4 linked regions of the Tamandua tetradactyla genome follow. The protein of the gene in region 4 interacts with the protein of the main gene of each other region in a pairwise test. Links are inferred from orthologs where the notes say so. Each region holds a gene or a part of one and is shown on either strand. Other genes may lie near its edges.

The links.
Region 1: the proteins of ubiquitin-conjugating enzyme E2 N (region 4) and baculoviral IAP repeat-containing protein 3-like interact in a two-hybrid assay, tested with the Homo sapiens proteins (2 studies listed by BioGRID and IntAct). The link is inferred for Tamandua tetradactyla from reciprocal best matches to the Homo sapiens genes UBE2N and BIRC3.
Region 2: the proteins of ubiquitin-conjugating enzyme E2 N (region 4) and LRSAM1 interact in binary tests that used the Homo sapiens proteins (3 or more experiments, as listed by UniProt). The link is inferred for Tamandua tetradactyla from reciprocal best matches to the Homo sapiens genes UBE2N and LRSAM1.
Region 3: the proteins of ubiquitin-conjugating enzyme E2 N (region 4) and RNF103 interact in a two-hybrid assay, tested with the Homo sapiens proteins (3 studies listed by BioGRID and IntAct). The link is inferred for Tamandua tetradactyla from reciprocal best matches to the Homo sapiens genes UBE2N and RNF103.

Annotation. Positions count from the first base shown.
Region 1 is NC_135334.1:40,516,648-40,524,024, forward strand, and holds the start of baculoviral IAP repeat-containing protein 3-like, read right to left. Parts: upstream 3,274-7,377; 5' UTR 3,091-3,273; coding exon 2,244-3,090; intron 2,136-2,243; coding exon 2,036-2,135; intron 1,695-2,035; exon of another isoform or gene 1,653-1,694; intron 1-1,652. UniProt on the Homo sapiens protein: Multi-functional protein which regulates not only caspases and apoptosis, but also modulates inflammatory signaling and immunity, mitogenic kinase signaling and cell proliferation, as well as cell invasion and metastasis.
Region 2 is NC_135328.1:50,259,146-50,267,079, reverse strand, and holds the start of LRSAM1 (E3 ubiquitin-protein ligase LRSAM1), read right to left. Parts: upstream 3,226-7,934; 5' UTR 2,816-3,225; coding exon of another isoform or gene 2,779-2,815; 5' UTR 2,748-2,778; coding exon 2,546-2,747; intron 2,171-2,545; coding exon 1,997-2,170; intron 311-1,996; coding exon 234-310; exon of another isoform or gene 224-233; intron 1-223. Other genes in the region: RPL12 (large ribosomal subunit protein uL11), read left to right, coding at 2,779-2,815, 3,400-3,473, 4,386-4,484, 4,904-4,985, 5,634-5,720, 5,991-6,103, 6,263-6,268; ZNF79 (zinc finger protein 79), read right to left, coding at 7,616-7,934.
Region 3 is NC_135343.1:60,476,539-60,483,852, reverse strand, and holds the start of RNF103 (E3 ubiquitin-protein ligase RNF103), read right to left. Parts: upstream 3,170-7,314; 5' UTR 2,810-3,169; coding exon 2,584-2,809; intron 2,104-2,583; exon of another isoform or gene 1,850-2,103; intron 193-1,849; coding exon 53-192; intron 1-52. UniProt on the Homo sapiens protein: Acts as an E2-dependent E3 ubiquitin-protein ligase, probably involved in the ER-associated protein degradation pathway.
Region 4 is NC_135333.1:162,831,121-162,838,579, forward strand, and holds the start of ubiquitin-conjugating enzyme E2 N, read right to left. Parts: upstream 3,349-7,459; 5' UTR 2,986-3,348; coding exon 2,896-2,985; intron 1-2,895. UniProt on the Homo sapiens protein: The UBE2V1-UBE2N and UBE2V2-UBE2N heterodimers catalyze the synthesis of non-canonical 'Lys-63'-linked polyubiquitin chains. This type of polyubiquitination does not lead to protein degradation by the proteasome.

The sequences.
Region 1 (7,377 bases), on a different chromosome or scaffold from region 4:
ATCTTATCCTGGCAGCAGCTCAAAGAATGTTTGTTAAAGGAAAATGGAAAGGAAAGAAGGAAGGAAATGATTTCTCTATACATATGTGTAGGCCATAAGAAATTATCCTAAGAACTAATTATGAACAAAGATATTATATATATGTACTCAGAGAAAGATAATATTCTTCCCTCTTCATAAATAAAATCCTTTTTTACTTTTTTTAAAGTTTTACTTTTGGAAATTACAGCCTTTTTTCCCTTTAGTATTTTTTTTCCATATCCTCAACTTCAACTGGTTCTTTTTAAATTCTAATCTCTAATTTAAATACATTGTAATGATAAAAATTTTAAAAACTAAAAGTAAATGTTTTCAAAATAGAAAAAATATGAATGCTCATTTTAATCTAATTTTAAGCTTATAAATCTATTTTTGGTGTTTTCTTTCTCATTTGCAATTACCTCAGAGTCAACAGCAATGACTTACTGGGCCAGAAATAGCATCCATTCAGTTAATGCTTTTGATTAATTGGTTTATTTCCTTTGGAATTGAGACAAAAGCCCTTAAATGGTGAGTGCTTGTGACCCACTCATGCACACATATACCTCTGATTTATGACAGCCTTACAGTATGACACCCAGTACAGTAGACTGGGAGCCTCATGACCCTTTTCTTACTTCAACCTTGGCAGTTTGCCACTCAGAACCCCTAACTGCTCTCTTCAGCTCTTCTCTAAGATTCCTAAAAATGCTCTGAAGAAAGACTTTAAAAACAGACATGTAGCAGCTCTCTGATAAGTGACACGGTTCATCTCCATTATAGATTTGAGAGCAGAGAACATGCGAGAGGAACAAGAGACAAAAAAAAGTCATATTCTAATAAGATAGTCACAAGTTTGTCAATTCCTAGATAATATATACTTGTTGTCATATTAGAGCATCAAACAAATTCATGATAGTATCAAAGCATATTTTCAAATTTACATTTGTATATTCACAAAATTACCACAGTGGAAAGCTAGCATAACTTTCAAAGAACTACATAAGTGTTCCTTACAATCTTCATAATTTTTAAAATCTGCAATATTTGGGGAGCACAAAGATGCTAGAAATGAAGATAGAGTACTATGTAAAGATATGTATAATGAAAATATGATAGCAAGTTTCATAATCAACATTCAATAATAATAAAAGTTTTGACCATGAAAAATGTAATTAAAGATCATTGAATTAGATGAAAAAAGAGTGCAAAAGAGTGAGATCCTCGAAAGTATAAGACATGACAAAAAGTTCTACATAGTGATTAAAACAGATTAGGTGGGTCTGTATTTACCCTGACCACCCTAATTAATATTGCAACTTTCCTGACACTCCTTATCCCCTTTAACCTGCTCTCCGTTTCCCCCCCCCAAATATTTATCTTTTAATATGCTACGTAACTCATTACATTTTTATTAAATGTCTTCTCTCCCCTGCTATAAAACATGTGTATGAGACCAAGTCTCTGTTTATTCAACTGGTATAGTTTATGCACCTAGAGCAGGCCTGGCAATAGATGTTCAATTAATTATGTTAAAAGACTGGAAATATATCCAGGATATAATATTGACTGAAAAAATTTTCAAAACATTATATCTCATTTTTATGTCAAATTGTATTCATTTATCTACATAGGTACATAGGCACAGATGTCTGGAGGGATGTTCAGTCAAACGGTAAAAATGATCATCTTTAGGTGGTAGGATTTGGGGACAATTTTATTTTTTTTCCCTTGTACTTTTCTAAAATGTATGACTGTGTTTTTATAATAAGCATGTTTTATCTTTGGAAAATATATTTTAAAAATTAAACAAAATCTAAACCTATTTCTTTTTCATCCTTAATTTCCATCAAAACCTTTTAAATCTATTTCTAAGTAATTCATTCAAAAATTTATTCACAAATGTATTTTCAAAATAAAGACAAAATAAAGTAACAGCCATTTAATTGTAAAGTAGACAAATGGAACCCATCCCTTGAGACTAACAAAAATTTGCAGAGAATTTCAAAACAATTACCTTGGAAACCACTTGGCATGTTCCACCCATGGATCATCTCCAGATTCCCAGCACCTCAGTCCACCATCGCAGCAAAAACACTTAACATCATCACTGTGTCCTAAAATTAATTTGGAGGAGAACTTACAAGCACATATAGCTTGCCCACTAAAATTTATAAGCTAAAATGTATTGAACATTTTTATTATTATCAGATTAAGTTTCTTACCCATATAATAAAAACCAGCACTTGCAAGCTGCTCAGGATGGACTAGGACATTAGATGGCCAGTTCAAGAATGTTTTAAAACGGGCTGCATGTGTCTGCATGCTCAAATTAGAAACTGTGTGTCTCAAAGTTTCTCGAAGCTGATTTTCTAAAAACGGACAGCTTGGGAAATGTCTCAGATGTTCTGCCATAGCATCATCCTTTGGTTCCCAGTTGCTCAGTTTTCCACCACAGGCAAAGCAAGCCACTCTGTCTCCAGGTCCTATATAGTAAAAGCCTGCTTTTGCCAGGTCTGCTGGTGACAGAAAGCTCAATGGCCACATCTGGTAAGTAAGTAATCTCGCTTTTTCGGTATGCATTGCCCAACTGTAAGAGCTTTGTCTTGAGGCAAGAAAATCTTGATTTGCTCTGAAATTTACAGGATTTGATGGAAAGCTTGAATAAGAGCCACTGAAATATCCACTGTTTTCCAAACTTGGTAGTAATGAATGTATAGAATTTACTGAAGGAGGGAAAGACTGTGAGGTGGCTCCCAGGCTGTTAACTGAACATAGTTTCTGAATAAAGCTACAGCTAGGATACAAGTTTTTATGCTTTTCAATAGCATTGTCTCCTTTTTTCCAGTTATCCAGCATCAGGCCACAGCAGAAGCATTTGACCTTGTCATTCACACCAGTGTAATAAAAACCAGCACGAGCAAGGCTCCTTTCTGAGATAGGAACGCCCGTGGGGAAAGTCGAATATGTAGACATTCGGTACAATTCACATGAAAAGTCATATTTCAGTTCAAACGTGTTGGCACTTTTCATCAAATTTGATAAGAATGTGCTTTTTTCTACTATGTTCATGGTGAATTGGATGGGGAGGAAAAGGGACTAGCCTTTCTCTGGGGAGGTAGTTTTGTGCATGGCTTTTGATTTTGTTAGTTTCAGTACAAGGTTGAATGCCTAGAATGTGAAATCATTCTTTTTCTTCTATAAATTTAGAGTTTCAGCATGGCAAGATTCTAAATCCTATACTTATACTTTAAAGGGACATATACTTTAAAGGGACAATTATGCACAACTGTTCCTTTGTATAATCTTTATATATACATATACACATGTAAACATGATGCTACATGGTAGCTTGTGATGGAAATTAAAAACCCTTTGTTGAAGGGGGAGTGTTTTAGGTCATCAGAATACCAATATCAATATCAAGCATCTCATAGGCAGGTCAACTTTTCAGGCCACTAAAGTGCTTCAGGGGCATTCAGCCAACCTAAAGATAAAATATCTGACTCATGTAGCTAGCTTCTTTTCATGGTGGAAAGCTATGCTCCACAAGTGTTCTACAACAAAAATGTTGAAGTTATGTTTATTTTAGTTTTTGTAGACTGTTAAACTTGGTAGCCAGAAAAAAAGCCTAAGACTTACCTCAAAAGAATACATTACCATATTTCATCACTTCTAAAACATGTTTTAATATCCCCGTTATTGAGAGGCTTCTTACAATTAATGGTATATTCATATTTTAATTCCCATTATTTCTTAGAGGCACATAAAATAATAGTGTATCTGAAAGTGACAGCTTAGATAATTAGATACTTTCTCCTCCCTCAATTCTTTTAATAGGGAAAATTAAAGTTTAAAACTAAAATAAACTAAAAATTAAAACTACTTCATATATAAGGAACTTGACTCCTTAGTCCTCATGATACCATTAGGTCTTGGTAAAGTAAAAATTCTATTTAAAAAAATCATCAGAAATGAATGTATTTTGCTCAATTAGTCTTTTGGATCCAACTTCATGCTGTTAAGGCAAGTCAGCTGTTTTTGTTTTTCATTCTAATGGTACACTTGATTAAAACTGACAGTTTTTCTTATAATCATATAGACAACAGGTGGTGCAAATGGAGATTCTGCCACAAACTATCAATATATGCAATTTAAATTGAATCTTAAATTCAGATTATTTTGGAAAAACGGAATCATGATATAATGTTCCCTTGGTTAGAAAAATCATTTTATCACGTTGCTTAAGATAATTAAATATGGCTTTAAAATAATGAGACTTTTAAAGATTTTTAATTGTTGTCCCTCTCAAAGAACTAACTTTGTAGAGTTATTCCCTTACATCACCTGCTCAAACCACACATTGCACAATGTCTACCATGTACATTTTTGAACTTTGCTTTTCTAAATGTCTAATTTTTCTAATTTGCTAACATCAAATATTCTACTCTGATAACGAATTTATTTTTAAAGCAGTCAAAAGTCATAGAATGTGTAGTCTTTAGGCTAAAATGGATAATCAAATTGCGCAGATTTGGTTTTGACTAGAAATTACTTCACAGAAACTTGGTTAGATATTAGTTCACAGATAGTAAACTTTGACCCAGAATATGTCATTACAAAAATTAATAAATTTACTTTACCACAATCCCCTTCTTCTGAACAGCTGAGCCCTTTTCAAAATTCAGAATTTCTCGGTTATGCCTAACTAGCCGTTAGTAAACAGGTAGTCTACGGTAATACCAGCAATAACCAATAAACTGTTTGCTTTTCCACCAGTGATTTGCCAGCATGGTTTCCTGGCTGTCACAGATGTTGAGGTTTTCTACTGCAGACTTCAATGCTTTGTGTCCAGATAGCAAGAGAAACATTATCTCATTACCAGTTGTGATTCCCAGGAGGAATCATTGTGTCTAACTTCATTATTTCTTCAGTTAGTCAAACATTTTACATTGTGCTAAAATACCCCTGTATTCATCATTGTCTTTGTGTAAACTTTCTTTCTGGTTAAGTTTGTTCCCTTACCAAAATTTAACCACCCAGACATTGTTCTCATTCTCATCATTCTCAGCAATTTAAACAAACAGAATTTTAGACTTTCAATATTATCAGTGCTCATGTGATTGAGTAATTTCTTCAACTATCATGTTTATCTTTCCAGCTTTCTCTAAATTTTTATACCTCTCAAAAAATTTTGTACTTGACATTCTTTGCCATCATAGAAATCTTTTAACCTGTCAGAGGCCTTATTTGCATATTTGTCTAATTTAACAGAGGGTTTAATATTAACTCTTTGTTCTAGATAATGGCCGCTCATTTTTAAATCTTTACCAAATACAGGTGCTTTTTTTCTATTACACAGTGCAGCCAGTGGAAGACTGCTTACCCAAATTTTAAATGAATGCTTTAATAATATGCTCCAGCTACAATCACTTCTCCTTTACTTCCACAAATCAAATACAAAATCAAATTCATTACTTTATAGTTATACTTCATATAAATAACTCATTTAAAAAATTACATTCTTTGTAAACCAAATTAAGTCAACTACTTAAGTTTTTTTCATTCATGCACAAAACTACCTCCCGGAGATTAGACTAAGTCCCTTTTATGGGTTTTAGGCCTCCATTTTGAGATATTCTTAATTATAGAAGAAATTGAAAACAATCTAGTAGTAGAACAGTTCTCCTCTCTGGTAAAACCTGTTAAAAAAACAAAAGTTTTAAAAGTCAGTCCATGAAATATGACACAATGATTTTTTTAAAAAAACATTTTCTTCAAAATAGAGCACTAGTATTTACTGATTGTCTATGAAGTACAAGGTACTGTTCTAAGAACTATAGGTGAGAAGAAATCCCAGACAAAGACACAAGGTCTCTAATTGGTGGCCAGTAGAGATATGTTCACTTTGCACAGAAATGGACAACAGTATGTTACTAATTTTTAACTATTTTGAAACTACTTTAGACCTGGAGAAAACTTGATGCAGAGTTCCTGCATAGCTTATAACCAGCTTCCCCAAAGTTAAGGTTACATAAACTACCATCTAGAAACACTAGTTAGCTAATATTTATACAATGCTGTTAATTAGTCTATTGTGCTTTATTTGAATTTCACCAGTTTTCCAAATACATTTTTTAATGTTTTAATTTTTAAAAGTAATAAGTTACCCATAAAATTCTAGATTTCAAGCTTCTTTTGAAAAATCAGAAGGTCTGGCAACACTGGACCAAATTCCTGCATGATGCCAATTGGCTAGAATTGAGTAGTGGCTAGACCCCTCAGACAGACCATTCTCCAGTTTCTCACTGTATTTTGACCACCTAATATTTAGGCTATCAGTTGCCATTTATTACTGGACTGGCACTATTATTTTTCTTATACAGAATTGAGAGAGAGGTGAAATTGTTCTAATACCCGTGTTTATGAAGAGTCACAAAAACGAATGCTAGACCATGAGAGACACAGGTTTTGACAAAAATAAGAGAGAACCACATCTTTATGGAAATGGAGACAATCCCTTCAGGTTAACTACATAAACAAAGTATGATTCTGTTTAAAAGAGAAACACACAGTTTTGTGCATATCACCTGTCTGGCCTCTTATGCATTTGAGTATGCAAACCCTTTACATAGCTCTTACCCTAAAGAAGATTTGGTGTGGAAACAAAGCATGTATTTGTAAAAATGGTAGGCAGCAAATATACAATAAATATACCAAAAATGTGTCAAGATGCCAACCCTCGATCAATTCAACCTTCTGTCTTAACCATTTCTAACACCTAGGCTTCCAAGTCAGCTGGTGAACAGCCACACCCTGCAGAATGGGACTCCCCCTGGGCTGGCCCTTCATCATCCTTCAGCAATTCTACTTTGCCCTAATCAGCTCCCTAGCCCATAAGAGTTGCCTTATGCCACTCTTCTAAACCATCAGCCCGTTCTTCAAATGTCTCTACACTCCCCCTCACCTTCAACTGATTGCTTTGCCTTCTGTTTCTCAAAGAAACATCTTTGAGCAGTGTCCTTTCACAATGTCATATCCATGTCTTTCTAGCTCACAGTATACTTGCTGCCTCAGACTCTTGTTCCATTATGGGATCCTGTCTTCTCTCACTCCTCAGAAATATTGCTCTTAACCCCATCTCCCTCATGTCTTCAACTCATTCTCTACTATCTCTCTTCTCACAGCATGACAATCATGCATAAGTCTGTTTCAGCTTTAAAATGAAAACAAACAAAAATTTCCTCTGTGAACCCCACTTTCCACTCTAGCCACGATCTGGTATGTAACCTTCCTTTCATAGCCAAAAGCAAACTGAACCAAACTGTTGTTAAGGTGTCCACTTTTCCCCCCTCCTAT
Region 2 (7,934 bases), on a different chromosome or scaffold from region 4:
CTTGCTTTCCAACTCTGAGTTTCATCAGGAAAGATAAACTGGACAAACAGGAGCACTTAACAGTGGACCTCATTGGTCTGGTCTGAGAATAAGAGATTCAACCTTCCAAATCTGAGGGGCGGGGGAGGCAGTAGGGAGGGAACATAGCTTTTATTGGGTGCAGTGCAGAGCCCTGTTTCATGTGCCAGAGGAAAAGACGGGGAAGGAGTCAGAGGAAACCCACTTGCTCTCACCAGACACATCTGGTACTCCAGGCGTTTTCGAGCTTCCTCACTGGGTTTCCGCTTTCGGAAGAAGAGTGGCATCCTTTCTGTTTCCCAGAAAAAAGGCCACAGACGAGATGTTAGGGCCTGGGGAAATTCACATAGCACCCCCAACTCCCAGGATGGGTAACACAGGAACACAGAGAACAGGTGTATGATGGGCTGGGCTGTGAGTTCTATGAGGAGGGGGTCTGTGTCTAGCTCATCCATCAATCTGTCTTCTGAGCCCAGACCAGCAGGTGTTCAGTACTCTGTTGCCTAAACAACAGGCAGTAGGCTGAGGGGAAAAGGAGCACCACCACAGCAGCCAGGTGAACTGGGGTCTGGTCCACATCTGCCACTGACCCACCATGAGACTGTGGGCACACCCTTTCCCTGTTCTGGGCCTCATTTCTCCTTCATTTTCGATGAGGGTGTTGACCTGGATACATTTTCTCAGGTCCTTTCCAGGGATGACTTCTAAGGACGCTAACACACTTGACTGATAATCACTTCTGAGCCACTGGGGAGTAGGGAGGTTAGAGCTGGTCATTAAGGAGGTTTGGGAGAGGTGTGTTTGTGACCACTCCCCATCCCTAAAGGTACCCTGATACATCAGAGGGGTATCAGCAGAACTAACCAGAGTCAGCCATGACCTTGGGGAGCTCTCCAAAGAGAATCCTGAATTAAAATAAAAATTAAAAAGCTACCCTTAGATAACTTATCAGTCTCATAGTTATTATTCCATTAGATTTTCACCAGAGCACTATTTATAGGTAAAGAAACTGAGGCTCATGGACTTCATTTGGTTATATAGCCTAGATTGCAGCAAAACCAACTAGAACCCTGGCCTTTTGAGCTCTAACCCTGTAGAGTTTGCCCAAATATTGGTGCTCAAATAACACAGCACACACTAATACACTGTCCTGAAATCAGAAGCAAGCAGCTCACTGCCTGCCTAAGGCTTGCACAGTATTCTGCAGATGTCAGTGCTCAATAAAGGATAGTGCTGGGCCAGCAAACCATCATCAGGGTAGCTTATGATTAACAGCACAGACTCTAGGATGAAATATAACTGGATTTGAATCCCAATTCTGCCACACACACACACCCCCCCCACTATATCACCTTAGTTCACACCCTCTGAACCTCAGTTTCTTCCTTTGTAAATTGAGAGCAGTAATGTTACCAATACTGGGAGCTTTGAGGATTCACTGATTTCCTAAATATGAAGCACAGTACTTGGCACATAGTGAATGCTCAGTAATTGGTAACCACACAGCACCACACATCTAACAAACACTTACTCAGGGTCTACAGTTTAAGGGGCTAGGGAGAAAAGGCAGGTAATGCATCTGAAAAAGATGTGTAATTCATTCTCACAGGGAGGGGTAGAGATCACAGTTCTCCACCCATACGGGCATGGGCTGTCTGGAAAGGCAGACAGGCTTGCAGAGCCGGCTCACGCCCCCGTCGTCACCCCAGGGTACCCGTAGGGATGGGGAATTGCTGCAAAATCCTCTCCCCAAACCTCCCCAACGACCAGCTTTAACCGCCCTACTCCCTGATGACTTACCCCCTCACCTCCTCTCCAACTTCTCCCCAGTGCCTACCCCTCTCCAAAAATCAACTCTTCCCAACCTGCAACCCCAGGTCCAGCTGTTCCCCAACCCCTTCCCGGCGTCTAGCCCAGAGAGGTAGGACCACACCCATCCTTCCCGGCTAGGGAGATGGGGGCGGGGACTGTGCCGAACCTGGCTTTGGGATGGAGAAGTCCGGTGGTCCGACCTTCGGTAGACCCGAAGCCAGGCCGATCAATCGGAGAGAATGGTCATGGACACGGAGCCGCAGCCCACTGGGTATAGGCCCCGGCAGAGCAGGAGTCCGGTCACCTCCAAACGCAAGACCTGGGGACGGAAACTCACAATCTGGGGAAGTCGTGAAGATCAGAATGACGAAGTCTGAGACTCCTGAGAACGGCGGGCTCTCAGAATTTAAGAGTTGGACCAGATTTAGACCGAATAAAATTATCTTGATAACTAAAATGCACACATATAACGATAGGATTAGGAGAGGGCTCTGGGTAACGCTGGTCCTGCAGTCCGGGTACGGGGGCGCGAACCCCTTAGGAAAGGGGCGAGGCTCTGGGATTGGAGGACAGGAACCCGGGGATGACCCTCGCGGAAAGGGAGAATGGGGAACAAGGAGGCTTGGGATTCCTGGAGCGGCTCTTCTGGTCTGCCTCTCTCACTGGCGACCTTCCCCGAACCCCTCTCCCAGTCCCTAGCCACAGCTCAGCTCACCGCGGTGCCTGGCTCTCCAGCTGTCAGCCTCAGGCGCCTGCCCACAAGCAATATGGCAGCCAGGGCATCGCTGGGAAGATGAGCAGTACGACTGTTCTCGCGAGAGTTGCGTTTTTCCGCCTATATTTGGCGTGCTCGGGTTGATTTCCGGCCTTTTGGCTCGGAGGAGGCCAGGGTGCAACTTTCTTCGGTCGTCCCGCATCCGGGTTCATCCGACACCAGCTGCCTCCACCATGCCGCCCAAGTTCGACCCCAACGAAATCAAAGTCGGTGCGTGTTCTAGATGTGGCCGGGGCTGCGGGGTGGAGCATCCCTCTTCACCACAGCCCGTCGGGCCTGCGGCCTTTGCCGTGTTTGCCTTTTCCATGTCGGGCTCTATAGCCGTCGCCTCCTAGAGGCCTATCGGGAGCCTCCGTTTCTGCGCTCAGAGCGCTGTGCTGTCCTGCCGAGTCTCTTACCCTTTCTGGGTCTCAGCTCCCCCATAAATGGGGAGGGAGGACCGGACGACCTGAGACGGGTTTGCAGCCCGCACATCTTAGGGTAAGGTTTGTCTTCGGGCTCTTCTGCTCTCCTGGACTGGGTTCACTGGAGGCCGGGGGTTCCCTCATGCCGGCCCAGTTCGGGGCTCAGCCGGGGTAGCTGAACCAAGGCCGCTGCCCCACGTGGCGCCCGATTTTTCTGCCCACGCTCAAGGTGTAACGCGCGGCTCGCCGGGGCGGGGGTGGGGCTTGCCTCAGTCCGGACCGACACGCTTGTGCTGTTTGGAGAAGCGGCGAAGGGTGATGGCAACAGCCCCCGGGAAGATGCAGTCGGGGGATATCTTTGCATGGGCCCTAATTCTTTATTTCTCCCAGTGTACCTTAGGTGCACCGGTGGGGAAGTCGGTGCCACGTCTGCCCTGGCCCCCAAGATCGGTCCCCTCGGTCTGGTAAGTCGTTTTCTGGGGGAGGATTAAGGTCTCGTGCCGGCATCATTTGGTTCGTTTGTTGGCTCCTGACCAGACCCCTGAAGAATGGGTGCTAGTACCAGAAAGGGTATGTTTGAACGTCCAGGCCGCTACCTTGAAGTTGGTAATTTACTTTACACGTGTGTACAACTGCTGCGGGCTGAGGGATGTGAGGGAAGTCAGAAGTGAGTTTTGGAGTCAGGAGTGCTTCGTGACAGCACTGTTAGGACAGTTGGGTGTAGATCCTGGTGAATATGGTGGCTTGTATTTCCACTTTTGTTTACTGTTGTAAACCTCGTGGTTAATAAGATTGGCTTTACCTGTGCTCTATTGATCACAAGCCTCATCTGGCTGTTGCCCCCTCCATTTGAAACTCTGCTTGTACTGGATTTACATTTCCCTGAATATGTTTAGGCCTTTATTTTTTGGATAGTGTTCTTCCTCCCCAAATAGCCCTATCTTGCTTAGCCCAGTGTATTAGCTCTTGGTCCCGCCAACATCCCTTCTCTTTAGGCTGTGTGGTCACTGGAATTTTTTAAAGTAGCAAATGCCCAGATACCCCTAAACGCAGACTGACTTGATTGGTTTAATAGGAGAACTGGTGGTTCTAATGTAACCATGGTTGAAAACCCCTCCTTTACCACATGGATTCTTATGAGAAGGTAAAGGGCTCCACTGTGAGCCTGAGCCTTTCTAGATTAAGGTTGTGTACAAGCTTAACCTCCAGTGACTGTAATGTGGGGATAATTTGCCTTGATTGGGTTGGTAAGATGGTTCAAATGTAGCTTCCTGTGTGCTGGATAAAGATTTGGGGTGTTGCCAAGTGAGAAATACTGGCTAGGTATTAAGGTTGAACATCAGGCCCAGTGTGATAACGTACCTTTATTTCAACAGTCTCCTAAAAAGGTTGGTGATGACATTGCCAAGGCAACTGGTGACTGGAAAGGTCTAAGGATTACGGTGAAACTGACAATTCAGAACAGACAGGCCCAGGTATTTACTTGTACTTGGTTTTGGGGAGGGAGAGAGGGAGCAGTCTTATGGGGTCCTGATTTTTGCTGACCCAGGCACTTGTCATCAGTGGTGAACTGAGAGCAGCCCTGTCCCTAGCCATAAGAGGCAGCTGCTGTGGTGGTGGTGAATTAAAACTCAGGCTCACACATGGCAGGAGTGAAGTGATGGAAAAACCATACCCTATAATTACAAGTAAAAGGATAACAATCTTTGTGGGAAGACCTTTTCAAGAGCATGGGCCTTAGAGCAAAGACCAAGGTTTCAATATTAATTTTTGTTATTGTGTAACCATAGGAGGCAATCAGGATGACTCCAACTGTGAAGGCTCCATGGTTGGTCTGTAGTCTGGCAGTCATTGGAGGTGGGGTGGGACTTAAGTAGAGAATCTTCTTATGCAGATTGAGGTGGTACCTTCTGCCTCTGCCCTGATCATCAAAGCCCTTAAGGAACCACCCAGAGACAGGAAGAAGCAGAAAAACAGTGAGTTGCCTTTTCCCCTGTATTCTTTTTAGTTGTGTTTTGTGATTGTTGTGTATCCAGTGACAACAGGTCTTCTGCCCACCCCCTCCCACCCACCCATGCCCCGTGAAACCCTGGGTGGTCATGGGAATTGGGTGATTTGGTGTAGGCTTTCACAGCCAGGCACACCAGCATAGTGTCATGTTGCTTTCCCAGCCCCTGATCCAGGTAGAGTAGGTCATACTCCATGAAGCTTCCACGAAAGAGGGAAACCTCAGGCCTGAGCATCATTGCCTGGTCTGGGCAATTAGTTGTGGGGTGAGGCAATTGAGAATATTTAGTCAGGAGACTTTCCCAGCTGGGTGACATTGAACAGTTTAACCCCAGTAACTTGAGCCTGTTTTTTCTGGACTCTAGAAGAGAAATAAAGTCTCTTCCATGTCAGATTAGCAAAGACTTGATTTTGCCCTTAGCCACCCGCCACTGCACCTGACCAGTTCTCTGTTGGCTGGTGCAATCCAGTGGTGAGCTGATACTAAATCCCAGCTTAGGAAACAGGGTTGTTCTTCATGTGGATGACTCTGTGCCGAAAGCATGGGAACAGCCTGGACATAATATGGTTTTCTCTTTGAGTTGTGATAAAGCTTCTGGTGTGTTTATTTTCTACAGTTAAGCACAGTGGAAATATCACTTTTGATGAAATTGTCAACATTGCCCGACAGATGCGGCACCGATCTTTAGCTAGAGAACTCTCTGGTAAGAGGACAATTCTTTTGTTCAAAAGTGAGGTGTGGTGCCTTATTAGGTTTGAAAGGATGGCTTTTAAGATCATGGCTGGATGTGTTTAATTAGGTAGCTCAAGGGGCTTATGTAACTAGATGGAAACAAGAGCTTTAGGATTAGAGATGTCATTCCTGGTACCCACAAAGACTATTTGTCCTTCTGCTTACTGCAGAACGAAGTATGTTCCTTAGGACTGTGGAACTGAGAACTCCTCTTAATAGCAGCTTTTCTCAATTTTTACAGGAACCATTAAAGAGATCCTGGGGACTGCCCAGTCAGTGGGTTGCAATGTGGATGGCCGCCACCCTCATGACATCATAGATGATATCAACAGTGGTGCTGTGGAATGCCCATCTGTAAGTGACATCAGTTTCATTTGGTCAAAATGGGGGTTGAAAGCCCTTGGTGCAGGGTAGGGGCTAACGTTCATGGATGGAAGTTGGAAAGTTCTACAGGTGTGGGGGATACTTTTTGTATTATTACTGATAGGGTTGTTTTTTTTTTCTTTCCTGCAGAGTTAAGAACTTCAAAGGAAAATATTTCAATAAAAGATCATTTGGCAGCCAATAGACTTGCTTATTTGATGTATCTTTCTTGGGGGAAGTTAGCTTCTTTGGGGGTGGTTGATGGGCCAGGTGGCAGAACCTGTGGAGGAGTGACAATCTGAGCAGTGAGCTCTGCAGGTAACAAATTCTGCCTGCTTAGAAGATGAGAAAGTATACATAGAAAAAGGAAGCTAGTGCTTCTTGTTTAATTTCAGTATTTATGGAGCTCTTTAATTAGGGGACAAAAGGAAAACCTGTATTTCAACCATAAACATGTAGGGAACCTCTCCCTCCCAGGCACTAGAATCTGTGGGTAGGTTGGAGGAAATGGTTAATGCCTTGTTAACCCATTCTAAGCTTTGGCCTGGTTCAGAACCAATGTTGTAACCATAGTCAGTCACCCCAGGTGGTCTAGTAGGCAGATAGGGTTGAGACTTATGGAAAGGTCTGCCTGAGAACTGGGTTAAGATTTGGGGGAATAAGCATCCCAGCAACCAGCCTCTTTTATAGCACAAGACCAATAAATGTGGAGAGCATCTCTGAAACCAGGGAAGCATGGACATTGCTGATGGGGAGTTCACCAGACGGTGGGTCTCCAAGTCAGTGTACAGAAGGAAGCCTGCCAGTGATAAAATTCTGAATTTCCTGAAGTGCATGACAAGAATGGTGCAGTTAACATCCACTCACCTTATTATAGGTCTCGTTCTTGGGCTTTCTTAGCCCTCCCTGCTTTATCCTCAGCTTTGCTCTGTTTTTTCTTAGAAGGGTAACAAATCCTAGACCTAGTCTAACAATTCACAAAGTAGGGATTCAGCAGTGCTTTCCTGGGTGGCAGCTGTATCTTGATTTCCCCCCTTTGAGATAAGATAATCTAATAGCCCTAGAATCTCCACTTGCATTTTCTTGGTAGTAGAAACTCAGCCTTCTGGAACAGCCCTCGATATTAAAAGGAAAGTTTTACAAATGTTGCCTAAATACTGGTCTTTATATAGGAACTTCTCTTACTGTTTTCTGGAGTGCTTGCTACATCAAAAGCATTCTTTAACCCATTCAGTCTGAAAAAAGGTAAATCTGTAAAGTTGGATGAAATTTCAGCTGGGTTGTTAGATTCCCTAAATTCTTTGATGCTCACTGAATGCCATATGCAATATGTAAAATGACTAAGCATTTATTAAAGGTTTTTTTTTGCATGTGGCTTGGGCTAGACTATAAAGTTAGATGTCCTCAGGTGTTGCTCTCAAATCATCTGCATTTATCAGGTCCCCTGGCATATTGATTTACTGAGATGTCTGAGGTTTTCTCTCCTTTTTATTATGTTCATAATCAGTCTCCACTGTGGAGTCTCTGATGTCTAATGAAGGCTGAACTACACCTGAAGGCCTTCCCACAATCACTACATTCATAGGGTTTGATACCAGTGTGAATTCTTTGATGCTGACTAAGGGATGAACTCTGATTAAATGCTTTTCCACACTCATTACACTCATAGGGTTTTTCTCCAGTGTGAATTATATGATGGCGAATGAGAGCTGAGCTCTCACTGAAGAATTTGCCACACTCGTTACATTTATATGGCTTCTCCCCAGTGTGTGTTTTTTGGTGGATTATGAGATTTGTACTTTGGCTGAAGGCCTTTCCACAC
Region 3 (7,314 bases), on a different chromosome or scaffold from region 4:
CGTCTGTCTTAAGTGTTAACAAATTATCAAGAACTATTATTGTTTCTGATACCTGAACAAGCCAAATGCCATCTTTTGTGTCTTCTACAAGCTCATAGAAGTGCATTTCACCACTGAAATTGGTACTAGAAACGGATTCAGATGCTTCTTCTTCCTTGAGAGCAGAATAGAGCTCACCCTCCATCAAGTCACCTGAAGAAAGGCAAAAATAACACAAATTATTAGATTTCAGACAGGTAAAATATACAAAAATCCCACTTTCCCAACTTCAACAATTAATTCCATACTTTACTGATTAGAATAGTGCCAATGTATTCTATAGGAAAGAATAGCAGAACCTAAATACATCCATGTAAGATTTATATATACTATAAATATATAAGAAGAAGTTATAAAGTGTCAGGCAAAAGTAGGAAAAAAAAACACATAAAAATCTATCTCTTCGTTGAGCTTACATTCTAGTGGGCTCATCATACTTTAATTGGGAAATTACTGAATTTGTACCAGTCCAAAAAAAATCAGAAATTAAAACTTTAGTTTTGAATATAACATGTCCTGGCTTCAAATAATTTTTAAACAGTATAATTCATGTACTTCTGACTTAAAAGATTGAGAATTCGGTTTACACAGAATTTGCCATCAGCAGAGCTTAAAATATTAAGAGGGCTTATATGACTTGGAGGTTAGAACTTTCTTAGAACAAACTTCGTATCTACACACAAATTTATACTATAAATTTAGAGCTTGTATCATCAAGCAAAGAGGAAAGGTAAGCAGTAATGTTAAATTTTCTAACTTCTGCCTTAAACACAATGAGAAATCAAGCACAGTATCATCAGAGCAAATTCATTTACAATGAACACTTAAGTTTACAGTTATCGTGCCAACCAACTCTTCTCTGCTATAAAATGTGTGATCTGAGTCCTATTTTGGGGATCTGTGGGTACTCTTTAGATTATATGCAGAACCCCTGTATATTCAAAAGTGACAAGTACTTTTAGCCTCCCCCAGAGAGCAACATTAAGTAAAATAATTAAAAGTCAAAAATTTTAAAATGTTAATTAAAAGTCAAAATTTAAAAAATGTGTGGTCAAATGATTTTACCATGAAAAATGGTTTGGCTTTGGAAGTTGAAGACATCTGTAAAGCTAGAGAGTTTATTTATTATAGATCTTTTACCTTAGTTGCTCCATTTATTTTCCCTGTGGTAGAAATAAAAGTCACCACAGACCAGTCAGTAAACAAGGTACAAGAATAATATACCATCCTATATTTTCTCTAAAGAACAAATTATCACTTTTGTAGAAAAGGTTCCCCGACTCCGTCCCAGTAAGACGAGTTTCATAATCCTGAACATACAGATATGCGAGTGTTGAGCTCCTCTGGAGTTACACTCTTACAACTCTAACTGGTTATAAATAAGGGAAAGAATTATCTTGTAAAAGACACAGAGTGGACAAATATACTTGAAACAACAAAAAAGATAACCATCAGTTTCAAGTGCTTGCTACAGCAAGGCAGAGCATCCTTCTCAAATTACAGCATGCTCCCCTTCCAGGAAGCATATCTAAACATATACTTTGTCTAGGAGGAAAAAAATTAACCTTATTTCTCACCCAACCCTACCCAACCAACAGTTATTGAAAATGTGTCCCTTAAGAGATTATATATTATATCAGAGATAATTCAACTCTATTCCCCAACCCATTTAAGTTGGTGCAGCAGTGCCTGTAACATAGAAGGAAAAAAAAAATTTACTTCCAAGAATCAAAAAATATGTTTTTAATCCTGACGGAGATATCAAAACAAAGCAAAACAACAGAGACTAGCATTTACACAAAATGCTCACCTTATTTCCACCAAAGCATGAAAAGCTATTGCTGGACTGGGTACACCGTATCTTTGTCTGCCCTCACTACAGGAAATGTAAGTATTATTTTTACCTATACTACCTTAGGCCTCTTTGATATTAAGTACTCCAGTGACATTTTCCCCTCTGGGTAGGGTGCAATTACTATGGGAGCAAATCTATGCAACGTTTTGGCGTTTTCCTCTTCCCATCCATCCACTGGACTCAGAACAGTTTGCAACTGGGTGATACTCCTGAATTTTGAGAAAATCACACAAGTAAACAACGCTAAGAAGCCGCACTTTATCCTGTTCCTTAAAAAAAATAACCTGAAAAAATACACACGAACACCCATGCCAACAAGGCTTCCTGATTTCGGAAACCCTCCAGGGCACCAGCCGCCCTAGGACACGCAGGACATGCGGGGTACGGGGATTCAAGGGTGCCGGGATGCGGGAGTGTCAGGGAGAGGGTCTGAGAGTAGGGGTGTGGGGGTGGTGGAGTGGTAGGGCTCCAGACGTCGAGGTGTAGGGGCGTGGGGATGTTGGGGTTTCTGGAGAGTCGGGATCTCGGGGTGTGGGAGTGCCAGGTGTCAGGATCATGGGGTGTACTGGGTCGGGATCCCTGGGGGTCGGGGTCCCGGGGTGTGGGGGTGCCGGGTTGGAGGCCTGGGGCCCGGGGGTGGCAGGGTCCTGGGGTGTGGGAGTGCCCAGCCGCCCCGCGCCACTACTCGCCTGACTTCTGCACCAGCGCCCGCACGTCCTTCTTCTCGGGCAGCCCCGAATAGCCCAGCCCCCGGCACTCCAGAATGGTCCTCAGCTTCCGGAAACTCAGCGCCACAGGGTCCACCAGCTGCGTGGCGAACAGGCCCGTCTCGTACCACACGACGGCCTCGAACACTCTGGCCAGTACGAAGAGCACCAGGAAGTAGAGCAGCAGGAAAAAGAGCTTCAGCCACATCTTCCTGGCGTCTCCCCGCTCCCCAGGGAGACCCGGGCGCGGCCCGCGGCACAGGAGCCGGCAGCGGGTGCTGCCGCGCGGGGAGCGGCGGGGAAGGGGCGCGGCTGTGCGGCGCTGGGCCTTCAGTCAGGGGGCGCGGGCCGCAGGGCGCAGAGGGTCAGAGGGCCCCATGCGCTCGACCAGGCCGGGATCGCTGGGCGCGGCAAGGCGTCCGCGGGGAGGCGGTTGGGGCGAGGGGCCCGGCTCCCGCGGCGGCGGCGGCGGCTCAGGAAGGACGCAGTGCTCGGCCCCGCTCCCAGGCCCCGCCAGCCGCCCCGGTTCCTCGAGAAGCGCGGCAGGCACGGTGGCGGCCGCTCCGGGGCGCCTGGGTAGCTCAGGCGGGAGGGCGCCGCGATCCCGCGGGGGAGGGGACGGCGCGGCCTCGGCGGATTGGGGTCAGGCGCGCGGGGCGACAGCGCCGACGGAGGCACGCACAAGCAGGCCCCGCTCCGTCCCACGCGGCCGGTTCTCTGGCTATCTCCGGGCCACGCAGCGCCCGCCACCCCCGCCGTGTTCCCAGGCCGCAGCCGCGGTCCCCCGAGCAGTGGCTCAGCCGCGGCGGCGGCGGCGGCCGGAGGAGACATAACAACTGACGTCGGCGGGGGGCGGGGCCGCGTGCCGGGGGCGGGGCCGGAGGCGGAGCCGCCAGGGCGGGGCGGGGCGGCACCTAGAAGGGGCTCCCTCTGGTGCTGGGGCAGAGGAAATGGGGGTGGGATGGGGAATCTGGCTTGTGTGGGGGTGTCTGACTTGGCTGTTAGGAGCTGGGGGGAATGGGGGTTTGGTTTGCTTTCCCACAACTTCAAAAGTTGCTGCTCCATTGTCTTTTCCACTTTCTTCCCTTTTTCCCTGTAGGTGTTTAGTAATTGATTTTTTCTGAGGATTGGAATTTGGACTGTGTCACACTGTGTATTTTGTGTGTGTGTAAAAACAGCAGTTAATTATCCCTTTAAAGTAGGTGAAAACAGAAGTGAGTTGTTTATGCTGAATCCTCGTGAAATGGGAAAATTGGGGCACATTTAGTGTGAGATGGTAGAAGGTGAAACTCAGAAACTAGATGTTTCTACATCTAACTCAGAATATAGCTTGTGTGTGTGTGTTGCAGGAGGTTGGCTGAAAGGCAAGTTAGGTCTGGGCCCAGTTGCCCTATTTGTCATCTTATAACCCTCACCTCCACTCACTCCAGCCTCGGGAGTCTTAAAGGCCAGGTATAATAGCTCTGAGTTTCTAGGGCAAAGGTTGTTGAGCATTGATATGCGCAAAATTACGTGTGTTTTCTTTCCTTATCCATCCTGAGTGTGGGCTCCACCACCAAAAGAACTTATATAAAATGAGTAATATGGACAGGCATGTAGTGCTTGGTTCTGTATGTGTTTAACCCAATAGAACATATTCTTTATGCCAACCTCTGTGCCCATTTCGAGAGAAGGGAGAGTTGGGTGTGTAAGCTGCACAAGGTGGGTTTTTACCAGCCCTCCAGATCATGAAGGGAAAACTCTGGAATTACCAGAGAAAAGTTAGCTATTGTGCAAAACTGTCAACTATCCTAAGTAGGGGTGAACATTTTAGGGAGAAGGTGTGATTCTCAATCTTGGAGGAAATAAGGAAAGAAAGGACCTCAGAATGGCATACCTTTAGAATAAAGCCACAGAGACATGTCCGCAAGCCTTAGGAGGGGTAGGCAGGGGAAAGAATCAGAGGAGGAGGTGTAGGAATGTACAACCAGCTCTTGGCCCCTGCTTCTGTGTTTTAACTAGCCCCAATGTGGCTTTGTTTCCAGAGCTGACAGATCAACGTGGGTGGCTGTATTCAAATTTCAATCCTTGGGCATGTCACAGTGACCATGCCACTGGACAAGATGGCTGTCGAAACCCTGACTTATATCCCTCACCTCAAAGGTATGTTCTGGCCCTTGGGGAGAGACTGACCCAAACTCTAATAGTATCAGGGCGGGGAGAGGGGAAGGGATGGCGGGCATGACCTGAGGATGGAACCAGCTGGTCCCAGACTTCCAAATTGGAAAAAATTAACGTGGGAGGGACTAAAAGGAAGGGAATAAAGAACTTTTGTGTTTCTTGTAATGCCTCCTGTCTCAAATCCCCAACCTTGTTCCTCTCATGGTTTAATTCTTAAGAAATATAAAAGCACTGGTAAAAGTGGTAGGACTAAATATGAAATCACTAAATATGAATTTCACGTCTGAAATACAGCCTTTCAAGACGTGGTTTGCACTGTGAGCAGAAGCCCCTCTGACATATGTGCTCTTTGGCACGTGATCCTTCTTTCGGGAACTTATCCTAAGGATATGATTGGACATATCCTTATGGACATATGTACAAGCTGTATTACACAGTTTTGTTGCTGTAAATGTAATAATTACAATAGAAAAACGAATCCAAATATCTAGCCTTGGAGTATTGGACAAATACAGTAATGCAAATGATGGACTGTTATGCAGGCACTAAAAAGAAAGATGTAGATATATGGTTATAGACATAGAATCATGTCCAAAAAATAGTGTTTGGTAAAAAATGCAAGTTCCTGAGAAGTTTGCATGATATGATCCTATTTTTGTTTTTCTACTAGCCAAAAATCAGTGATGTACACAGTAAAATGTTATCTGTATTTATCACTAGGTGAAAGGATTTGGAAGATTTATTTTTTCCTTTTGGGCTTTGTCTCTATTATTTTTCTGAAACAATTATGCATCACTCATGTAATTTTAAAATGTGTTAAAAAATAATAATGAAACATCCACCAAGGCTGCTTTCCCATTCTTGCGTTCTAGCAGCAGGGGTCCGTCTTCTGGGATTTCAAGGGTGTCTGGGATTGGGGGCGTGGGCTGTTCTCCCCTGAGAGTGATTTCAGCCTTCACTTATGCCTCCCTGGGCAGATTCATTAGAATTGTTATTCAAACACCAGGCTGACAAAAGAACCTTTGAATTATTTATCGATTTTCATAATCTGTTTTCTTTAAAGCTAGGCTATTAATCTGGGTTCTTGGTTTTATATCTCAGATTCTGTTCATTTGTGGCTTAAATTCCTTAACATATGCTATTGAAGCAAGAGCATGCAACAGTAATTGAAGAGCCTGGTCTAGCGTGAACTAGTACTAGCTGCGTGACCTTGTTGGAACTCACTAGAGCTCTCTGAACTTCATTTTTATCATCTATGAAATGAGATAGTATGTATGCCCCGGGAGCCTGTTGCAAGGATTAAACAAGAAAGTAAATGTGTAAAGTACTTCAGAACAGACCTGTTGCTTGTATTTAACTTAAAATGAAAAATTAAGTTTAGGGAAAAAGAAAGTAAACATCTTTGGCTGATCTTGACGAAACAGGACAATTTTATTTAGGGTTCAAAGAGAACTTTCTTTTTATTTTATTTTTATCAAAGTATAACACTTGCGTACTTTAAAAAATCAAATAACACTTGACAGCTTCATCCAAACTTGGGCAATTTTAAAAGTCAAAGAGACAACCATAGTAAAATTATACCAATCTGTCGAGGATAAACTGGGACTGTCCCCAAACCAATTCTACTTATCATTGAAAACATGTCCCCGGCTGAACCCTCCCCACCCCCAACTGCCATCCCTCAAAGGCAACAGCCTTCAATTCTTTTAAGCATTTTTCTCATTTTCACCTTTATACTTCCAGAGAATAAGTTTCTACAGCTTTACCCAATTGCTATTCCTCAAAGGCAACGGCCTTCAATTCTTTTAAGCATTTTTCTCATTTTCACCTTTATACTTCCAAAGAATAAGTTTCTACAGCTTTTCTGGGCTTTTCCATTTTATAGATCATCCATTGACTTCTTGTGGAAGATGAAGAATTATCTCTTTTACACCCTCCTTTCACATAGCACTTCCTTCCCCACATTCCAAACATGAGTATATTAATATCCCTTTTTATATTAATGCAATCATATAAATCTTGTTCATGGCTGAACCATATCATTTGTATTTCCTTTCATGTGCAATTGTTCATTTTCCTTGGAGTTAATAATTAACTCAAATTTTGGTTTCTTATTCCCTGTGTACTTTCTCATCCCCGAATTCTCTGTCTAAAGTATAAAGCTACTCAAAACAGCTGCTATCAGTTCCCTTTTGTCTTTTTTCCTCCTGCTCTGGATGGACTTATTACTTGCCAAACTGACTGCACAGCTGCCATCCTGGAACTTCCTTTCACGTCTCTTTTATGTGGGCTCCCTGTTTTCTGGATCCCATGTTTGCACTTCGTCCATTCACTTCCTTGTTTGCATGCAAACAGTGGCTTCTAAGAAAGTGGGCATAGGATATAAATTTTGGAGACCTTATGTGTATTAAAACACTCTTATCTTTTTTGTTTTGCTTTGTTTTTTGTTTTTCAGGCTTAGAGAAATCTGCACGAATATTGTAAAAAAAAACTCTAAGTGCTTCATCAACACTAGCATTTTTTGCTATATTTGCTTTCCCCCATCCTTTGTAT
Region 4 (7,459 bases):
GTGGGAAAAGACAGGAAGTGGCCTACCCTCACATTAGAGTCATTCTACCTGAAAGCTTACTATATTAATTACTAACCAGAGCCTCACTTGGGCAAAAATTCCTCTAATTAAAGCACTTCTGATCTAAAAAAATAAAAAGCAAAAAAGTTACAGTATTTACACTCTACATATGAGCACATTTCTACTTCAGCTATATAAATGTGATGTAAAAATACACGGATTGTCAGTTATCATCTAGAACAGTTATTTTTTGGAGCATTCCATTCCAAAAGCAATGAAATCAGACAGTCTTGGTTCAAATTACAGCTCCACAAACTTACTGTAACTCTAAACAAGTTACTTAAACCCTCCATGCGGGTTTCCACATTTGTAAAATAGGCTAATACTAATAGCCACATGAAAGGATTGATGGTAGGATTTAATAAATTAATTACTACCTGTAACATGCTTGGACTGATGCCTCATAAACAGTAAGTGATCAATAAAATATATTTATTATTTACTTTAATAAAAAATTGTATGACCAACCTCACTTAAAGAATAGTCAGGGAGGGCCATGGTGGCTCAGCAGGCAGAATTCTTGCCTGCCACGCTGGAGACCCCAGTTCGTTCCCAGTGCCTGCCCACACACACAAAAAGAAACAGTTGCCATACCGGGCATTCTGGTGATTATGATTCACAGACTAAGTTTGAATTTAATGACCCTAGTCATTAAATAAGGCATTATTCATCACATTTATTTCAGGACTACACCATGCACTTTCTCTCTCCCTTCCAGCATTTACACCTGTTATTCCCAAAACTTACTCTTCCTCATCTTGACCTAGACAACTCCTACTCTTCAAGTTAAAAGAGAAAAAGAAAAAAAAAAAAAAGTTATATCCCCAACAAATACCTTTCCTTCATCCTTATCCCCAAGACAACATTCCTGCATTACTCTGCACTTCCTTTCTCATAATGCAACACCTCACTATAATTTGTTTCACAACTATATTTCCCATTAAGACTATGAACTCCACTTAGATGGATGTGTTGGTTTGAAAGTGTTGTATACCCCAGAAAAGCCATGTCCTTTAATCGTGACCCAATATTGGAATGGAAACCCTTGATTAGGTTGTTTCAGTGGCAGACTGACCCATTCAATTGTGGGTGTGGTCTTTGATTAGATTACTTCTGTGGAGATGTGGCCACCCAAATGTAAGGGTGGACTTTTGATTAGTTGGAGAAGTGACTCCAGCCATTCAAGCTGAGTCTTGATTAGTTTGCTAATGTCCTTTAAAAGGGGAAACATTTTGGAGAAACCTCAGATAAGACAGTTGCTTCAGAGGCTACAGAGACACAGACATTAGGAGATGCCTGGAGTGCCAACAGAGAGAGCAGATGCCTAGACATGGACTAGTATGGAGATACAGAGTCCAGCAGATGTCACAATGTGCCTTCCTATGAGATGCTAAGCAAGCCAGGACGCAGAGCTGTGGCCCAGAAGAGTTAAGTGAAGGCCCACAGATGCTTAGGGGAAACCACTGACATCAGAAGCTGAAGCAGTGGAACTGGAACAAGGATCTGCCTTTCCATGTGGCAGACATGGCCTTCCTTGAGTCAAGGTATCTTTATCTGGATGCCTTAGTTAGTAGATTTTTAGGGACTTAGAACTGTAATCTTGAAATTTAACAAATTCCCTTTTAAAAAGCCATTCCATTTCAGGTACACTGCACTCCAGCAGTACAAACAAATACAATGGGATACTGATCTTAGTCACCTGGCTTAGTGCTGGATATATACATGATGCACTCAATACATGTGCTTTTAGCTGAACTGAAACACATTTTATGTACGGATAACAAAAGAGCAGACAACTCTCCCAATATCTAAGAAAACTAAAATTTAGCCTCAGACTCTTACACTTATAAAGCCATCTTTACCACGGCCCTAGTATTAGACTGGAAGGTGAGGCAGGGGAGGGCAAGTAGTAAAAAATCCCTATCATCCTTAAGAGTCACAAAAAACATAGCAATTTACTGAAATAACATTGTTGTCACTGTGCTGGTTTGAAAGGATGTATGTCCCCTAGAAAACACGTTTTAATCAAAATCCCATTTCGTAAAGGCAGAATAATCCTTATTCAATACTGTATGTTTGAATCTGTAATCAGATCAGCTCCTTGGAGATGTGATTTAATCAAGAGTGGTTGTTAAGCTGGATTAGGTGACATGTCTCCACCCACATGGGTGGGTTCTGAGAAGTTTCTGGAGTCCTATAAAAGAAGAATCATTTTGTAGAATAAGAGATTCAGAGAGAGCAAAGCAGAACAACACAGCCATGAGAAGCAGAGTCCACCAGCCAGAGACCTTTGGAAATGAAGAAGGAAAATGCCTCCCAGGGGGCTTCATGAAACAGGAAGCCAGGAGAAACTAGCAGATGATGCTGTGTTCACCACGTGCCCTTCCAGATGAGAGAGGAACCCTGACCGTGTTCACCATGTGCCTTTCCAGATGGGAGAGAAACTCTGTGTTTGCCATGTGCCCTTCCACTTGAGAGAGAAACTGAACTTCATCAGCCTTCTTGAACCAAGGTATCTCTCCCTGGATGCCTTAGATTGGACATTTCTATAGACTTGTTTTAATTGGGATATTTTCTCGGCCTTAGAATTGTAAACTAGTAACTTACTAAATTCCCCTTTATAAAAGCCATTCCATTTCTAGTATATTGCATTCTGGCAACTAGCAAACTAGAACATTGTTGTTGTTTATCCATTCATCTGTTGATTGACACTTGGGCTGTTCCCCCCTTTGACTACTGTGAATAATGCTGCTATGAACACTGGTGTATAAGAATCTGCTTAGGGTATATACCTAAGGGTAGAAATGCCAGATCATAATGTAATTCTGTATTTACCTTTTTGAGGAACCACGAAACTGTTTTTCCACAGGAGTTACACCATTTTACTTCATCACTAGCGATGAATGAAAGTACCAAGTTCTCCATACTCTTACCAATACTTGTTATTTTCTGGAAAGATTTTTCATAATTTTATTAAGACACTGATTATCAAAGTGTGGTAAATAGGCCAGGAGCATGAATATTATCTGGGAACTTATGAGAAACTTTTATGTCCCACCCCAGATCAACTGACTCAAACTCTGGTGGGGTTCAGCAATCCATACTTTTTTTGTTTAACTTTTTTTTTTTAATTAAGAAGTTGTAGGTTACAGAAATATCAGGCAGAAAAAAAAACAAGTTTTTATATTCTCCCCCACGCAGTTTTCCCTATTAACATTTTACATTAATGTGATACCTATGTAACAATGATGAAAAACAATACTGTTATAATTATACTATTAACTATAGTCCATAGTTTACATTAGAATTCACACAGTTTACATTAGAGTTGTGTGGTAATATTCTATGTTTTTTTTAATTTTTATAATAATAACATATATACAACCTAAAATTTCCCGATTTACCCATGCAAATATGTAATCTAGTAGTGTTAATTAAATTCACAATGTTGTCCTACCATTACCACCATCTATTACCAAAACTATTTCATCACCCAAACCAATTAATCATTTAATTCCCAATCCTCATTCCCACCCAGGGTCCTAGTTTCTGGCTCTATGAATATGCTTATTCTATTCTTTGATATCTCACTGGTGGTCTCTTAGAGTCACAAAAAAGCAACACTGAAATAACACTTTCTTAAGCATAAACTATAAGGAAATTTAAGAAAGTTGTGAAGAAATAAAAACCACCTAAAGTCACATGGCACAACGATTATGTTTTATGTTATACAGTATTACTGTATAACAGGCTTAACAAGCCTTCTATCCCTAGGTCATAAGGACTATGTAAATACAAAACAATTTGTCCAAAACAGACCAAACTCCTGATACAGACTTGAATGTAGTAGCATGTAGACTAAAGGAGTTCAAAAATATGAAGATGAAAAAGCCAAGTATAAAAAAAAAGCACAATGTGATATGTCAACGCTAGATTATGAAAAGAATGTCTAAAAGTACTTTAAATTACAGCCATATCCCAATTATTTAGAAGCATCTGAGCTACAAGTCAATTCATGAATTATAAAAATTATTATGCCTAAATACCCTTACGGGATTTTAGAATAGCTTCATCCAGGATCTTAACAAATAACAATGACCCAAATGGTCACTGGAAGTAGTTCTTGGAAGAACGGATAATAAGAATTCTTTCTGTTGACTCTCTGAGGGCCACTGCTAATTATTCAATTATTCAAACCATGCAATAAGTTTCTGCCACCAGAAACGATACGGCAAAAATTCTCAATCCCCGGGATGAACATGATCCTACATCCTATTCAATCCACAAATTAAAGATAACTGTATTTAATACTTCGCCCAAAAAAAATCTCCATTTGGGAAGCATCTTTTAAAGTTGCTGAGTTTTTAATTGAACCTAGTTGGTCAAACACTACTCCTTGCAAATAAAATTTCAACTCTAATTATCAGTCCAACTCAATTTAATCTTTCATACAAAATAAGAATTATTAATAAATTACTATATACATATTATGCCAAATTTATTTTGTTTTAGAAAGTAATACTGTATAACATAAAGCAATTATTAATTAAGTACCTATACCAGAACTGTGATAACTATAATTGTAATGTCCAAAGCCTGATGACTGCTGTAGTAGTTGGGTTCAGGTGTCAACTTGGCCAGGCGGTGGTGCCCAGTTGTTTCGTGGCTGTGGACATAAATCAGCAGCCTGTGAAATTCATCTATGATTCATCACATCTGCAAAGGCAAAGAGGAAGTGCCTTCTGCAATGAATGATGTTTAATTCAGTTAGCTGGGAGCTTGAGAGGTCAGAAGAGAAGGAGCTCAACACAATCCAGCACAATCCAGCTGAGAGTTCAAATCCAGACATTTGGAGATGCAGAAAGGAACTGTACTGTGGAAAGCCATTTGAACCCAGAAGCTCAGAGAGAAGGCCAGCAGATGTCACTGTGTGCCTGCCCCCATGTTACACAGAGAGTCAGAGGAAAGCCAGCTACCTTTCCTCTGTAAATTTGTAACTAAATAAATCACCTTTATAAAAACCAGTCCATTTCTGGTGTGCTGCATTCCAGCAGCATTAACAAACAGTTGCTCTCTTCCTTTCCCTGTTTATCTTTCTATAGAGCATTTATATACATAATCCATGATAAGAGATTTAAATGTAAGTTCAGAATCTAAACCTTGAATATATAGTGTAACCTGTTTTCTTTTTAAATCCATTATGCACAGGTAAACTACAAGGTATGGGGGATGGAGTGGGGGGAGAAAATGTACTGATTAGCAAGGCAGAAATCCTGACCTTGTAACTTATTGGCCTACAGATTTCACTAAGAGAAAGAAAAAGAAGGAAAAGTCCTCCAATGTAAAAAATTCTATGATTGTAATAAGCGTGGTCACAAGTATGGAAAAACTCACAACTTCAGCAAAGCAAACACATAACATTTCTGATGTTATTGTCATTCATACACTACTAGATCTATGGGAGTATTTGATGAACTGACAAAATTCAGTTTCAACTGTGTGGGAATCAATCAACTGGGGCTGTAAGGAAGATCCTTTAACAGTGCTTGACCCAGAGAAGCTTAAAATATACTCAATTGACTATTTCTAACTAAATTTTATTATGCTCATATATTTCATAATCAAAACATTAGGTATTACATTAAATAGCATCTTTATAGCCTGAAACTTCAATCCCTATCAAAAGTAGTTCAGGGATTCTTAACCTGGAGCCCATGGAGCCCTAGGAGATCCAAAAATAAGCTTGGCAAAAACCTGAATCGCCAGAAATCATATTGGAAAAAAGAAACATGGTTTGGGTGGTGCAACAGTGGCTCAGCGGCAGAATTCTCGTCTGCCATGCTTGAAACCCAGGTTCAATTCCCAGAGCCTGCCCACGCCAAAAAAAACCCCACATGGTTTATTTTCCTGGGAAGGAGGTCCAGATCTTTCAAAAAATGTTTAAATGGGTACCACCACCCCCCCACACACACACACAAAGTTAAGAACCACTATCTATTCAAATTTTACTATAATAGTTTATCTGTTTCCAAAGAAGAACTTTAATTACAATTTATAAGTTAAGTCTCTCTTCAACACAGTAAGTTCTTCATATCCCTTAATGGGAAAAAATACATATATCAATCAAAGATTTTCAGGGCTTCAAAAAAGTGTCAGCTTTCTGAATCACTTTTCTTACTATAGTATCTTACACACTAGACTACAGATCAAATGAGTGACTTGTAAATGTGATAGAAAAAAGTGATGTCTATATGTTTAAAAGTCATAATTACTAAAGTGTAAACAGAACTCAGGTCTCAATGAAAATTAGATCATATCAGATTTTTAAGAATTTGAAACTGAACCACACTAAACAAAAAAAAAAAAGTAAATTTTAGGGTGGACAATAGTAGCTCAGTGGGAGAATTCTCACCTGCCATGCTGGAGACCCAGGTTCTATTCCCCAAGTCTGCCCATGCCAAAAAAAAAAACCAAATTTTAGGAAAGACTGGCAAAATGCTAGTATTTACAGACTGGCTAGCTAAGTTTTAATCAAATGAATTTACTCCTTGAGTAAGTTAACTACTGTTTCCTAAGGCTATATTTTACAGTTTTCCTGATTATTCTTATGAAGGGGAGAGGAAAAGGCCTAATTGTTGTAAATGCACTAATTCTCTGGAAGGATACATAAAAAACAGGTAATAGTGGTTGCATGGGAAGGGGAACTAGAATGTTGAGGGACATATGAGGGAAACTTACTTTTTTCTCTATACACCCCTTAGAATTCTTCAAATATTCTGCTGTATGTATGTTATGTTCTAATTAACAAAACAAGGAATTGATTTTTTTACCAAACTTATAGGTAGAATAAAAGACTAATTTTTCAAATATTGCTTTAAGTTCAGACATTGGTATCAACTCCAACTGTCTACTAAACAGTACCAACATCAAGTTATTATATAGCATATCAACTCTTCTAAAACTTTTTTCCAAAGAGATTAAAACTCATCCATCATTCAATTAATAAATATTTCAGTGCCTACTATGTGCCAAGAATTGTTCCAGACATTAAGAGAAATGCCCAAGACCCCTGAAAGTCCCTGCCTTTATGGAGCTTCAGTGGTGAAGAAATAGGTAACTTCTGAGTAATGATAAAAAGTGTTATAAAGAAAAGTGTTACATACGGAGATAAAGAGAAACTATGGGGTGCAGGGAGGCAGAGGTATTGGGGGAGGGATTGCTGTGTTTTAGACAGGGCAGTCAAGGTAGACCTGAGCATCTTACATGTAAGCCAAGAAATGAATGAAATGACAAAGCAATCAGTGCAATAAAGAGGAGAAAGGCCCTGTGACATAAACAAGCTTAGCTATTTATTACTGTTCAGGGAACAGCAAACAAACGGTAAGCTGCAGTAGAGTGC